2 linked regions of the Drosophila melanogaster genome follow. The protein of the gene in region 1 interacts with the protein of each later gene in a pairwise test. Each region holds a gene or a part of one and is shown in the gene's direction. Other genes may lie near its edges.

What was found. The genes of interacting proteins can lie anywhere in the genome.
Region 2: the proteins of robl62A (region 1) and CG10927 interact in a two-hybrid assay, tested with the Drosophila melanogaster proteins (one large-scale study listed by BioGRID).

What each region holds. Positions count from the first base shown.
Region 1 is NT_037436.4:1,474,018-1,481,193, forward strand, and holds robl62A (robl62A), read left to right. Parts: upstream 1-3,601; 5' UTR 3,602-3,703; coding exon 3,704-4,018; 3' UTR 4,019-4,352; downstream 4,353-7,176. Other genes in the region: stet (stem cell tumor), read right to left, coding at 2,156-2,505, 2,565-2,976, 3,040-3,270.
Region 2 is NT_033778.4:18,608,628-18,615,023, forward strand, and holds CG10927 (uncharacterized protein), read left to right. Parts: upstream 1-4,462; 5' UTR 4,463-4,499; coding exon 4,500-5,582; 3' UTR 5,583-5,613; downstream 5,614-6,396. Other genes in the region: GEFmeso (guanine nucleotide exchange factor in mesoderm), read right to left, coding at 2,054-2,105; CG42697 (uncharacterized protein), read right to left, coding at 3,381-3,451, 3,664-3,799, 3,856-4,068; mRpS28 (mitochondrial ribosomal protein S28), read right to left, coding at 5,614-5,797, 5,855-5,976, 6,038-6,316.

The sequences.
Region 1 (7,176 bases):
TCGCGTGGGACGCTCTGCTCCTCATCCTCATCCGCTCCGCACATGGTCGCGTGCTCCATTGTTTGTGCCTTCCCTGGAATTCCCCGATTCCGATTCCGCATGAATATGTCAATGTAATGATCTCCGCCCTTCTTCTGCTTCTTGTGCGCCCAGCCCCGTTCGTATCTGTGGAATTACATAAATATTAACTTGTACTTTTTATAAACATGTTTGCGCACCACAAACTGAGGATTGCCGTCCTGGTCATGTTGAATTCCGAGCGGAGGAAGGCTTCGATTGATATGATTTATACACTAAAGACTACTCCAAACGGGCTTCATTCCTGCGGAATAAGTTAGTTGCAGTGCAGCAAGTTTAGTCTATTGACATTAAACCTGATCTAAAAGTATCTTAGAGCAGCATTCTCGCATTAGAAGCTGGCTACAAATTACGTTCTGGTTTTTAATCAGACTGCGTACAGAGTTAATTAAAACATTACTGGGATCAATGATATAATTGTTTAATAATTAGAGCAACAATAGGAATAGCAATGCACTAACACTAATGTAATTGGTTATTTTAGTAAACTTTTATGAATTCATTGATTTTCTTACCAGTTTTATCCAGTTTTTCTTTCTTTGAGCAGGTTTGTACATTTTTTTCCCAAACCGCCTCGAAATAACACCAATGCCGCATTAATCAGCGTCAATAGAAGCAGCTCCTGTCCAAAAGGATCGCTAAGAGGACTCAGTTGCGTTCCTGTCACATTTCGCTTTGCATTTGCCATGCCGCATTTTTCCATCATTTTCTGCTTCTTCCCGGCGACACCCCCGCGCCCGCGCGAAATATGCGACAGCCCTGACGAATGACTTGACGGCGAAATGTGCTCAAACAAACATAAATTCCGTGTCCGCCGGGATTGGGATTTGTTGACTGCTCCTCCGAGTGGCTGTCCCGAGTTTCTCCCAATGTCCTGGCCAAAAACACGCAACGAGAAACGCCAGAAAAAGCCAAAGTTAACAAACGAAACGAAGGATTGCCAGGTGCGCGTGCTGCGCCAAACGAAATTGTAGTTTTTTGCGCGCGGATTGTGTCATAACTCAAGGAAATGATAAGGACGGATGGCCAATCCTTATCACCCAGCACGCGAATCGGTTTAAACTCACTCCAGCTCACTTTTTAAGCCAATTTAATGGGATTTTCGCGGAAAGAAAAACGAAACCGACGCGTCCACTTGAAACCGTAAGTTCTGCGATCAGCAAAAAAAAAACGTGTGGCAACATTGCCACTGGAAAACTTTAACCCTTGAGCTTCATCTCGACTTTTACATTTATAACTGTAAATAAACAAGTGCTTAACGATCGGTGTAAGTGTGTCCACACCACAATCGCTAAAAATTCCCGTTTAACCCCAATTACAAGCATGAAACACATTTTTTTTTAAAATTTAAATGTACTTTTATTTACAAGTTAAACAAAATGTGTAAATAGAAAATATGTAAATTTATGCTTTACTCTGTTGGTGCTTGGTCGTAATTGATTTCTTAAAGCTGGCAGTGCTCAGTTACGCTCGGCTATATCAAATTGAAACCGATTTACTTCAACATTTTGGAATATATTTAATATTATTTATCAGTTGTTGTTGAGGTAGTAATCTCAATTGCTATAAGGCCTGTAAAATTTAGAATAAATCGCTTGCATTGCCAATATATCGGTTTCCATATAGTCCTTAAAGCACACGCATATACATATATTTGTAATTCTAATTTACAGCTTGTGGAGTTTTATTCATTATTAGCTCCCATATAAAGTCTTCTGGTTCTTCTGGTTAATCTTAATAATATGTAGAAAATGTGTAATTCCTTGAGCATTATGTTACACCTAATCAGTTCGATTTGTTGTAAATATTCTCTTACGATTCTTACAATATGTTTGTACTTAACTAGCAAACAAAACAAAATAATTTACGTCGCATGACACGTAAGCAAACAATGAGATATTCATATCTGATCCTACAGATATAGGGTTAACAAAACAATAAACGCGAAACTTAATCGACGTCCAAAAACAATAAAAACTTCAATGTAACGCAATGAACAAAATGTAAGCAAAATATCAATTAAATACGAAACAAGGATCGAATTCTGATCATCCCTATCGCTTATCCTCCTGGGATTTCACACCTGGAAATCATTGAAAATGGTTTCCGTGACACGGATCTTCTCCACGCGTATATTGAACATCGCAAATCCATTCATGATGTTGAAGGCGATGGCGAAGACCACCAGCGCCAAGTACGTTCCCAAGGCGATCCACCAGAGCAGCTGCTCGTGGAGCTTCTGCTCAAAGCTCTTGAGCACCAGCAGCCCGATAGTTAGGCCAGCAATGGCACCAGCCAAATGGGCCACATACGAAACAGCACCCGCCGTTTCCGCCTGATCTATGGCCAGGAATTCACTCGATGATCCCAGCTGCAGTTCGTCGCCAGCATAGCGAGCATAGATGGCAAAGCCAAAGTCGAAGGAAACTAGAAGAAATTGAACTGTATTAACAACAACACTAAGGTGCGGTAGGCTAAACACTCACCGAAGACCAGAATGTGAAGCAGCTTGATGACTCCATAACGCATCTGGTGATAGTTGAGAAGCACATTGGCCAGGTGGGCGGCTAGCAAAGCGTATACTCCACCACTGGCGCCCACAAGGAACACATCCGGGTCAAAGATGCTAGTGCCCAGGCTTCCCGCCAGCACCCCGGAGAAGTAGATGCAGGCTATCCTCGTGGAACCATGAACCATCTCCAGTGGCAGCCCAAAAACCAGCTGAACTGCCACGTTAAAACCGAGATGCAGCCACCCGGCATGGAGTACCATGTAGAAGAGGAAGCGCCAGATCTCGTGACGCTTATCGGGACGGTAGATGAACATGGAGTCCGAGGGTATGGGTCCCCTTGGCGCCGCCTCACCCGTGACCACTGAGTGGTAAACAAAGAAACCCAGCTGGGGGAAAAGTAGTTAAGTAGTCAAGGGTCTGTTCAAGGAGAACTTAAACTTTCAACGCACCTCCACCAGAGTAACCAGGATGATGAAAAAAGGCGGCGGACAGCAGGTGTAGCGATCGGCGTAGTACTTGCGATCCCGCTCCTCGGGCAGGATCTCCATGGCCACGGCGTGCACCATTTTGCGAAAGAGTGGCGGTTCGTTTAGCACCAGCTGGAAATCGTTTTCGGAGCAGACTTCACGATCTCGATGGTGTACGGCGCACTTAAAGCTACGTGTCCGCTTGCCGCTCATCTGGAATTAAGTATGGAGGTTTAATCAGCAATAGTTGATGCATATTTAAGTGTAAAGATAACCTGCAATTACATATCTAGCTATGGTACTGCGATACCTTTTTCGATGTAATTGATATAGCAATATATGTATATTCCCTAAGATCGTTATATAAACACCACTTCGGGAGTAAGCAATATAACAAAACATTTACTAAGAACTTCGCTAAGAAGAAAGTGATTAGAAAATTTTCAAAATTGTTTCTACTATTTCGCCTATCAAAAAACTCTCCCATTTTAGTAGCCTTTTGATACAATTTCAGCAATTTATCAGCAAAGACTACAGAAAACTTCAGTACCTTTCTAACATCACTCGAATACGGATCAAACATAACTAGAAAATAAATCTTTTAGACAATTTCTAATTTCCAGTTTTACTACAAATCTTTTTCAAAATGTCGAAAATTTATCTGAAGGCCATGGAGGATGTGGTGCAGCGAAACACGGACAACACAAACCGGATTACGGAGCAGGCGCAGGGATTCGTGGTGTCGGAAAATGCCGGGGACAGTCTGCTGCACACTTCATTCGATTTGACCACGGCCCAGTCGATTGTGAAGCACCTGCACGCCAGTTTCCTGAAATTGGCCCAGAGCTGCGTCCGTGATCTGGATACCGATGATAAGCTGTGCTTTCTGCGCGTGAAAACCCGCAAGCACGAATTCCTGGTTAGTCCAGAGGAAGCCTTCACTGTGACCGTGGTATTGTAATCCCCCAGCCCATCTAGGGGTTAACAGTTTGGACATTGTTGCTTGCTGGTGGACAAGGGAGAGAAACACCAATACACACCCACTATCGCTACAGCTGTCTCACTCGCTCATTGTTGATGCTTTCGTTGAAGATCGTCGTACATGTTTAACCAACCCCCCACCCCCCACCCATCCAAAAAAGAAAAAAGAAATCTAGTCATAAAATTATAAAACGAACATTTATGCGTGTGACCGGACAAACTAAATTATGTTTATTATGTAATTAAGATGTTGGCACAGATGCCGATGTCAGCCATTAAAACAAACGCAGAGCGGGCAAAAATCCGCAAAAAGCGGAAAATAAGCATTGTGTTTAATTAAAAGTGAAGCCTACACGCAATTAAAATGCTCGTCTACGACGATTGCGAAAATAAAAAGGCCACAAATTAAGCTAGCCACGGCCTTAGGGCACAAAATAGTTACTTCCGCCAGTCTGGGAAGGGGGAATTTATGTATCTTCTAGTTAATCAGCGCTAGGCGGACTCTTAATGGCAGTAATTATCAAATTTTGTTTAATTGATAAGCCTCCTCTGGAGGACTGGAGGCTATGTCACTGGAATATCATATGGGTGGCTACTCTGTTCTTGCGCGGGTGTGCACTAAATACTCCCTTCCAGGGAAAGCGCCGTTTTTCTTGTATTTTGTTATGTACATATTAACTGTAATATTATTCACATTCTCCGAGCATTTCACTTACGCAACGAAACAGCAGCGTTCCTGCTTTATTAACTTAATAATCCTTATAAATTTTTCATTACGATTAAAGTTTAAACACAATGAACACTTAACATTGAAAAAACGACCGAATTTACAACTTTCCCGCCAGCGTGCCGAAGTTTCTATTCGCGCTCTGCGCTTTGTACTCTTATCCTCCTAGTTCTATTTCCATTCATTCCGCTTAGTAGTGTTGCACAACGCCAGCTGATCGATCATCGAATCTAGAGCGCTAAGATCAAAAATAAACAGAAATCAGATTTTACTTCCGAGTTTCCGATTTGGGCCAATTTCTGGGTATTAAATTGTTTCGATTCGCAGACAAAGGGCGCAGAGAATCTGTGTTGTCAACAATGGGAACACCCACACGCATTGTGGCCGTGTGACAAGTCGCATTTTCGGCAAGATCAAGCGATCACAACAAAGTGCCAACAGGGCCAATAGGGCGAAATTGTATTCCCAACAAATGATTGCTTATCGTTTGTTTGGCGGACGCTGGCTGCTGCGGCTGATAATGTCATTATCCTGGGCGCAGAGCAGCGCAAGGAGTCCGAGTCCTGCACGCCGCATGACGTCACCAGGTAGGCGACTTCACCGCCATTTAACGGTGCTAAAAGCAGACGGCACAGTTGTGAGCAAAAAAATAGGAGCGCCACCTATAAATGTACTTGCAACTCTTAAAATTACAGTTTACTTATTAAATTGAAGAGAGTTTACTTGAAATTGTGTGTGATCAAATTTCTATACAGGTATGTACTTTAACCAACCCTACCACTATTATCTTGGCCTCTGCTGTAACCTCGCTTCATTCACCTTTTGCAGGACAAGCCGACAAATTGACGCAAAACATTTAACGCTGGAAATTGGGATTGGGATTGGGATCGGGTCGGCAGACATGGTCAAGCGGGACAGGACAGGAGCGAGGAGTGAGGGGATCGAAAGGCGAAGGACCACAGGACGACGTGGCCGGCTCGGCTCTCTCGCTCGCTCGCTCTGCGAGCCACAAAAAATTCCTTTGAATTGCGTCCGTTGCAGCAGGAGCACACAAACACGGCGACATGTATTTTCCGCATTTTTTGTTGCCTTCTGCCTGTGGCTATGCGCAAAAAAGGACATCTCCGCCGGCGGTGGCAGGATGACGGTGGTCCACAGGATCGGTGGTTCGTTGGTTCGGAGGTATTGTGTGTCCTCTATTATGCATTGCGTACGGCCTCGCCCGGCGTGTTGACATTTTTATTCCAAACAGTTGAGCAATATTTATAAACTGGCCGAAAAAAAAGGAGCGGGAGGTGCTGGAGAGGAGCAGGAGAGGAGCAGGAGGAGGATGATGCGGGGGTCATGGTGCATGATGCATGCCCAATGGCTTTATTTCCGGGTGACCGTGTAAAACGTGCTCGTGGTTTGCAGCCTATTAAATGAGCTATTTGATTAACATTGTTCGTTGTTACGCTAATGAAAGGACAAAAGCGAATATTTGGACTACGAGGCACAAAGGACACAGGCCCGAAGCCATTTTACAGGACAATTCATAAAAACATTTATAATGCAGAGCATGATATTTATATTCCATGCATGCAAGGAAGCTATGCATATTTATATTTGTAAAACGTTTTTTAAAAGCAAGGCAAAGTCAAGACTGAGTATTGATTTGAATATTATTTTAATCTAATTAAAAAGATTACTCAACTTATATAAGAATAATCTAATCCTCGAGATTGACCCTAGCCTTTTGCAATAAGCACTTAACTTTCCACAAACAACAATGTTCATAAACATCAGGCAATTCAAATATTTCTACATTAATCGAAATTGTACAATTTACTCTGCCACTCAATTACTTTGTTTTTCTTTGGCAGCTTATTAAATGCCACATTCTACATGCCCAGGAGCGAGGACCCAGCATCTGTTGATGTTTGCACGGGCGAAACACCTTGGAGTCCGGGGTAAAACCGCACGAGCCCAACCAGATGATGATCTAATTGAATGACAATATTATGCCAGGCCTAATTCAATTTGCATTCCTTGGGAAGAGGTGCAGATGGAGGAGCGAAGGATATGGGGCTGAATCTTAAACAAACACGACAATTACTGCCGACGGATGCACTTGTCCGGCCAAATGACTTGGTCCCGTAATTAGCCCGGGGATGAAAGGATGCGGGATGGCTTCCCGTTTTTCGGTCCTTGGTCCTTTGTCGGCCTCCTCGGGGGTCCGTCTAATTATCACATTTTTACTCATTAAATTCACATTTGCCCGTTTTTTTTTTTTTTCGTTGCTTTTCCCCCTTTTTGGCAGGTCCTGCGCGGATCCTGCTGTCTAATTACAGGGTAATCAGGCTTTCAGCCGCCCAGACCAGCGAATGATGATTGATTGAGGGTGTGGTAGTAGTAGCATCGTAAAATCATAC
Region 2 (6,396 bases), on another chromosome or scaffold:
CCGCGCCAGCGGAAGTGGAGCACTGCAAAACTGACCCCTTTAACTTTTTGGGTATTTCGATTGGCCGCCACGCACATGCCACAAAAATGTACGAACAGGTCTGTGACTGCTGGCCTTGTCGGCTTTATCAAAAAGTCAATAAATACATGCGGCGAAATCTTATCAACGCCTTAGCCCTACTACCATCGATATCTATTAGTATTTATTGAATAAACCAAATATGAAAGCCAGGCCAGCCAAATAAATGTCACAAGAGAATCGATGGCGAACCGCAGGGCCCAAAAAGGTTTCCTCAGATCACAATCTTTAACAATATCGAATGAACAGACTCCCGTGGTGTTTGTGGTTACGAGTGGTAATTCAACGACTTGACCTGGCACCCTGCCCCCTTGCGCTCATGCACTTGTGTCCACAGATGAAAATTTCTTATTCCCCCGTTTTGTTTGTTTGTCTGGAATTGAAGTTGACTCTGTTGTTGAAGAGGCAAACAAACACGGTGACGGAAAGGGCAAAAGAAGACGAACTGGTGACATTTGATAGTGCATGCGGTCAACTGCTGGCGATATCATTCGGCGGGTTCTATTTATAGGTCGATGCGATCGGTAATATCCTGGACATGCGGCCGACAGATGGCGTCACGTTTGCTGACCCCGCCAAATGTCAACCACTTGCACAATCGTCTATGTCTAAGCTGGTGGGATCAGCAGAACAAACCCATAAATGCCGCAACACCCCCCCATCACCTATACATGATTCATTCGCCCTACTCATGTATGTGTATATAATTGATATAACAAAGGCCACTTGCTGAATTCGCAGTGTCCGTTATCAATAATTGACGCACCATCTTAACCCGTTTTAAACTATTTTCTTCGGGCAGTTTTTTGAAGGTACTTAACTAAATTAGTTATTCTCTCTCTCTCTCTTCACACATTTGGTTTGGAATTGTGTTGGCCAAAAGATTGCTTAAATTCAGTTTTACAGTTTTAATAGAGTTACTTGCAATTAGTATGATAATACATATTACTTATTACATATACATATTACTATTGATTATTATAAGTTTGGAAACCTTCTTTGGCCTAACATGGGTTAACTAACAGAGCTACTTACAGCGCTGTTGCGCTAAGGGCGGCGTTATCTAACATCCGCTGTTAGCGGGCGTGCAATAATAATAAAGAAAGTCAACAAAAGAAACGCAGTGTCAAGACTTATGACTAATGCACTTAATTGAACGAAAGCTTTCGGTGAGAAGAAAAACAAATATGCAGCATGTGCCACAAAGTTACAAGCAAATCGGCGTTACGAATTAAGTGGGTCAGCAAACCGAATGGAGCCACCCAAAACATAAATTGCAAATCCGAAGACAGACCTTTTCTTGGCCACACTTGTATGGTAATATGTGGGTCAAAATGGCCCGAAATTATGTATTATCATTAAATTTCATTACAACCGACTTTTCGAGCGCTTAAATAATGTCGAAAAATTTCGGACTGCGCAAAAGCGGAATGCAAAAACAAAGCGAACCCGTTACACCGCAATTCACGCAATGCCACTCAGTGGGTTGTTATTTTATTTTCCCCCCACTTTTTGTACAGTTATGGGAACGGAACGGTGCCGTCGATCCACCAAATGCATTGGCCCCAGTCCCAGTCCCAGCACCAGCCGCAATCCCCATTCCATCACCATCCCCCAACCCGCCGAGCCAAAGAAAGCCAACTTGATGGTCTGTTCTTGTACGCAAGTCCATATTCGGAGTTTGGAGTTCTTGGAGAATGCGTAGTGTCTCCCACACAGGAAGAAATATAAGATCGGGACATATGTATATTATTCATAATCCTACTGTAAACATATAGTACCCTAAGCTTTTGTATGTTCTTATGCCTTCAATGACGGATTATTAAAATGTAGACTAATGTCGTCTGAAATGCTGAAAACCAATATTACTAGTCTCTATCTGTGATTGATACGTGATTTTTCCTCAGTGCACCTCCCCAGCCCGCTGAGTCATGTCATTTCTGCACGCAGAAGTTCAGTGATCCCGTTCGCTTACCAAAAAAGTCCTCCCATCTCTCCGAGGTGTCCGAATCGGATTCTATGTCCATCTTGGTCTCCTCCGGCTGCTTGATTTACGATTTCCGAGTGCGTCTGGTTTGGTTTTGGCCAGATCTGGTCCCTCGCGCCTGATCTGTCTCTAAATTTAGACGGCGATTGCAGAGCAACTGACACTGAAGGAGGTCGTTATTATCGCGACTGCTTTGGCTGCTGCATTAGATATGGCCGCAGATACAGTATCTAAAACGGGCGAATTGTGGCCAAATGACTTCACCCGGTGCAGAGCGGAAAGGCAAAGCTCAATCAATGGCTGGCCGATAAGATAAGCGCTCGATTTAACTTTAAACACTGGCACCGAACTGTGCGATTTTCTTTTCCGTTTGTTTGTCGTATATGGACGTTTTCGCAGTTTCGAGTACGAGTATCTGGCTTTATTCACCACTAGTCGCCGATATCTTATCGCGGTCTACTAAGCTCCGAGGTAAGGCAAATATCCAGCAGGTACGGAGGCATTGTGGCCAACAGCTGGTGTCCAGCGATTCGGAATGAGAATACGCGAATGTATCTCAATGTTGCGCTCAGTTCTCGGAACTTTCGGATGACTAAACCGGCTCACGGACTTCTGTCTCTGGGGTTGGGGCTTTTATTTTATTACTTTTATTTGGGCTTAGAACAAATTGTGGGGATTCTCCAAAAGCGGGCCACACAACAACCGATCGTTGATTGAATTAAAGTAATGGGCTCTTCACTTGCTATTTGCGAAACCGAAAACAAAACGAAAACACACAAATTGCAGATACAAGTATCTCGCGCTTCGCTGATTTTCCAGTTTCTCCCGTGCAAATCACCTTCGCACCGTTACTTCTAATTGCGGCAAATGGAAAACACTCTCGTCTCACATATACGACTGCACTTGCAGATACACTTGTGTATTTTCAGATATAATTTTTGATATTTTTCCTGCCGATATTTTTATTTCCTTTTTTTTTTCTTGACGGGTAGGGGGCGGTACACTGGCACACACACGCTCATTCGCAGGAACAGCTCGAGCGCTCCAGGAACGACATATCCAGCGCGCGTCTCAGAGTGAACTGACTTACTTGAAAGACACTCAAGTCGGAAGACCCGAGCACGAAGTCACCTCATACACAAATAATGGGGGGATTCGAATACAAGTTCTCTCTCTCTCTCTCGGTGCTCACAGTATTACATCCGATGCGAAGATCGCTGAGAGTTGCATAGTATGCTCATTCCAAGGCGTTCGATCTCCAACATGGTATGTTTGTATCTTCTATGCATGCAACAAGTGGAACCAACTGCAACTCCTAGCAGTCGTGGGTGCATGATCGACAGCACCACCAGGTTGAAATGATGACCCATTCGTAGTACATCTCGACTGGATAAGAGAAAAATATTATTTTAATTAAAAATCGAACGTGAATAGAATTTATGTACTTTTTAAGTCCACTACGTTTTGTTGCTTGTTTGTGTTATATGTTGTGTGTGTGTTATAGAAAGAAGTTCTCGATAGTTAATGTATTAATCTACTTCTCTATCTTCTTTTGTTTTCAGATCCAAAAGAAATTCAAAATTTTTTCACCAACTTACGTATGCTAAGAAAACCGCCCAGAAGGAGGTGCAGAGGGTCCCACAAGAGGATGTAGAAGAGCACCACAAGTGCGATGAGGAGCCCCAGGGCCGCAATACCTATAAAAAAGGACAAGAGCATGGCCCAGCACATGTCCTGTAGAACAGCGATTGGATATCTTTACAAATTTAAGGATAAAAGTATTCACTTACCCACATCGTTCCGAGGAGAAGAAGAATTTTAGCTAGGGCTTGGACAATGCCAAAGACCATTGCCATGACCACAAGCACTGTTTCCGGATTGCCCTTGATCATCTCGAATAGACCCACAGAAAAGACCATTAAAGCTAGAAGCATCCCCGTGAAGCCGATGAAGATGCAGCCAATGTAAAGCGACAAATAGCCGCAAAACAAGCGCAGACACATTTCGATGTTTCCTCTAAGTTTTGACTAGAAATCACAAGCACATATTTCACTGGAATTTTGAATTTAAACTTTGGGTATCAGACTGGGCACTGCTTACATGTAGACATCAAAAAAGATATTGGTTGTAAGGAATTATAATGCAAATTAGACAATTGATCAGATTATTGAGCTGATTAGATTAAGTATTAGGGAATGTATATCAAAAGTAGGAAATATTTGAAACAGCTCCCAAGCTAAATAGCTTTAAAGACTTTTAAACGTATAATCTTTCACTAAATTATTTTTAAATGCATATTTTAAATAGAAGACATTTTTCAAAGTTGGCGCTTAATATCCAAACAGCTGTTTCAACGCCAGCGCTTGGCACTTATCGATAACCTATTTCAATCGATTCCAATTGGCATTCTTCTAATTGAAGAATTAAGTAAATAATGGATATATCCGCGCCACCAAACAAACGTGCTCGAAAATCACCCAATCTGGATGAAGACATAACTGGGATCCGGGCCATCCTCTCCGATGAGTTCGACGAGGATATTGCGCTCATCAAGGCGCACAGTTGCGAGTTGGAGACGAAACAGCAGCTCCAGGCGGTCATCCAGGAGCTCTCACAGAAATTGCCCCACTTTCAACACCTAAAGCGCGTCCAGGATCGCAGCGTGCTCATATGTCCCAGCTCAGAGATCGGAGTGTCTCAAAGCCTGGAACAACACCTTGAACAGTTTGCCTTTTCGGAGCACGTGCTCCGTGCTTTGTGCCAGGGAGTCCGGGTGGTGGAGGTGCCGGAACGGATGCCCCGACTGCGGGTGCAGTACGAGAAGACCCTTAAGCACTGGCCCTGCAAGTTTCACCCTAATCACTACTCGGAGTCACTGAGGAATGGCAGCAACTTTAGCTCCGCACAACGCACATTTCACAAAAGGATCGGGCAATTGCTTGTGAGGCTCTCGCGGGATGTCAATGCCAATCGTCCGGTGGGCATCTGCGTGGATCCGCGACAACCCAGCATTGTGTCCATTGCTGGAACTGGTGAAGTTTGTAGGCCGCACGAGCACTGCTGCATGATGCTCGTCGATTTTGTGGCTCGCAGTCAAGAAGGAGGCGCCACAAAAACGGAGGTTACATTCACCGAAGATTTCAAGAAGGATACCACTCTGCGGGGTATTCCTAAAGCCTACTACGATTACCTGATGAACAATGAAGACTACAAAGACCTGACATTCGGAGCGGAAAAGTCGAGAGAATGCAAAGAAGTGGACGCAGTTCAAGGAGCAGATAACCTGGCCAAATTCGGACCCTATCTGTGCACCGGCTACGATATCTATCTGCTGCAGGAACCCTGCCTTATGTGCTCCATGGCCCTGGTACATAGCAGGGCGAAAAGAGTATTTTTCGTTAAGAACTCTGAAAACGGAGCTCTAGCCACGAGATTCCAACTGCATTCGGTGCGGGAACTCAACCATCACTACGAAGTGTTCCAGTTCACAACCAAGGAGGATGAAGACTTGACGTAACGTTTAACAAACCTTGGTTTTAATAAAGGATTTATAGGATATCTTCGATTTTCGGCGTTGTTTTGGCCGTCGACTGGCGGGTGGGCGTGGACAGGAGACCCAGCAAATGGCAATCTGCCTCTAGAATGGTAATATCCTTGGACGAACCCAGAAACTTGGTGGACAACTCCAAGTCCTTGATGCGCAGTCGAACACGGGCTCCTCGCACATAGTCGCTGAAGTAGGAAAGGCGGTTTATTGGATAAAGAGACAGGAAATTATATTGAACTCACCTGGCATTGCGTGTTGGACGACTGCAGACGCAGTGAAACTTCCAACCAAAGTCTATGTAGAGATCATCGCCCACCACATGAAAGATCTTGCCACTGACCACCTTGCCCTCGGCGTTGTCCAGCTGCTCCAGAAATCAACAAGTTATTACATAAACAATGGGATTACTTAAATAATGTACCCACATCAATTAATTTGGAGTTGCGCAGCAGGGAGGCGAAGGTCTGGTTGTCTTCCGGCAGCTGTGGAGGCGTGGCTGGTGCCGTGTACTTGTCGAAGGCACGGGCGAATCCTCCCTTGCTGCTGCCAATCTCCGCCGTTTCCGTATTCACTGCGGGAGTAGATTCCTCCGCCGGTTTTTCTGTGTTACCGCTGATAAGTCGAATGACCATTGGCATTCGGGAACGACAGGTTAATGAAGCCATCGGTACACCAGATCTGCTTAGTTTTTGCAAGAGCGACATGGTTTTAATTTAATATTGCTCAAAAATATCCACAAGAAAACCAAAACCAAGTGGAAAACCAAAGAAGAAGAGCGGCACCG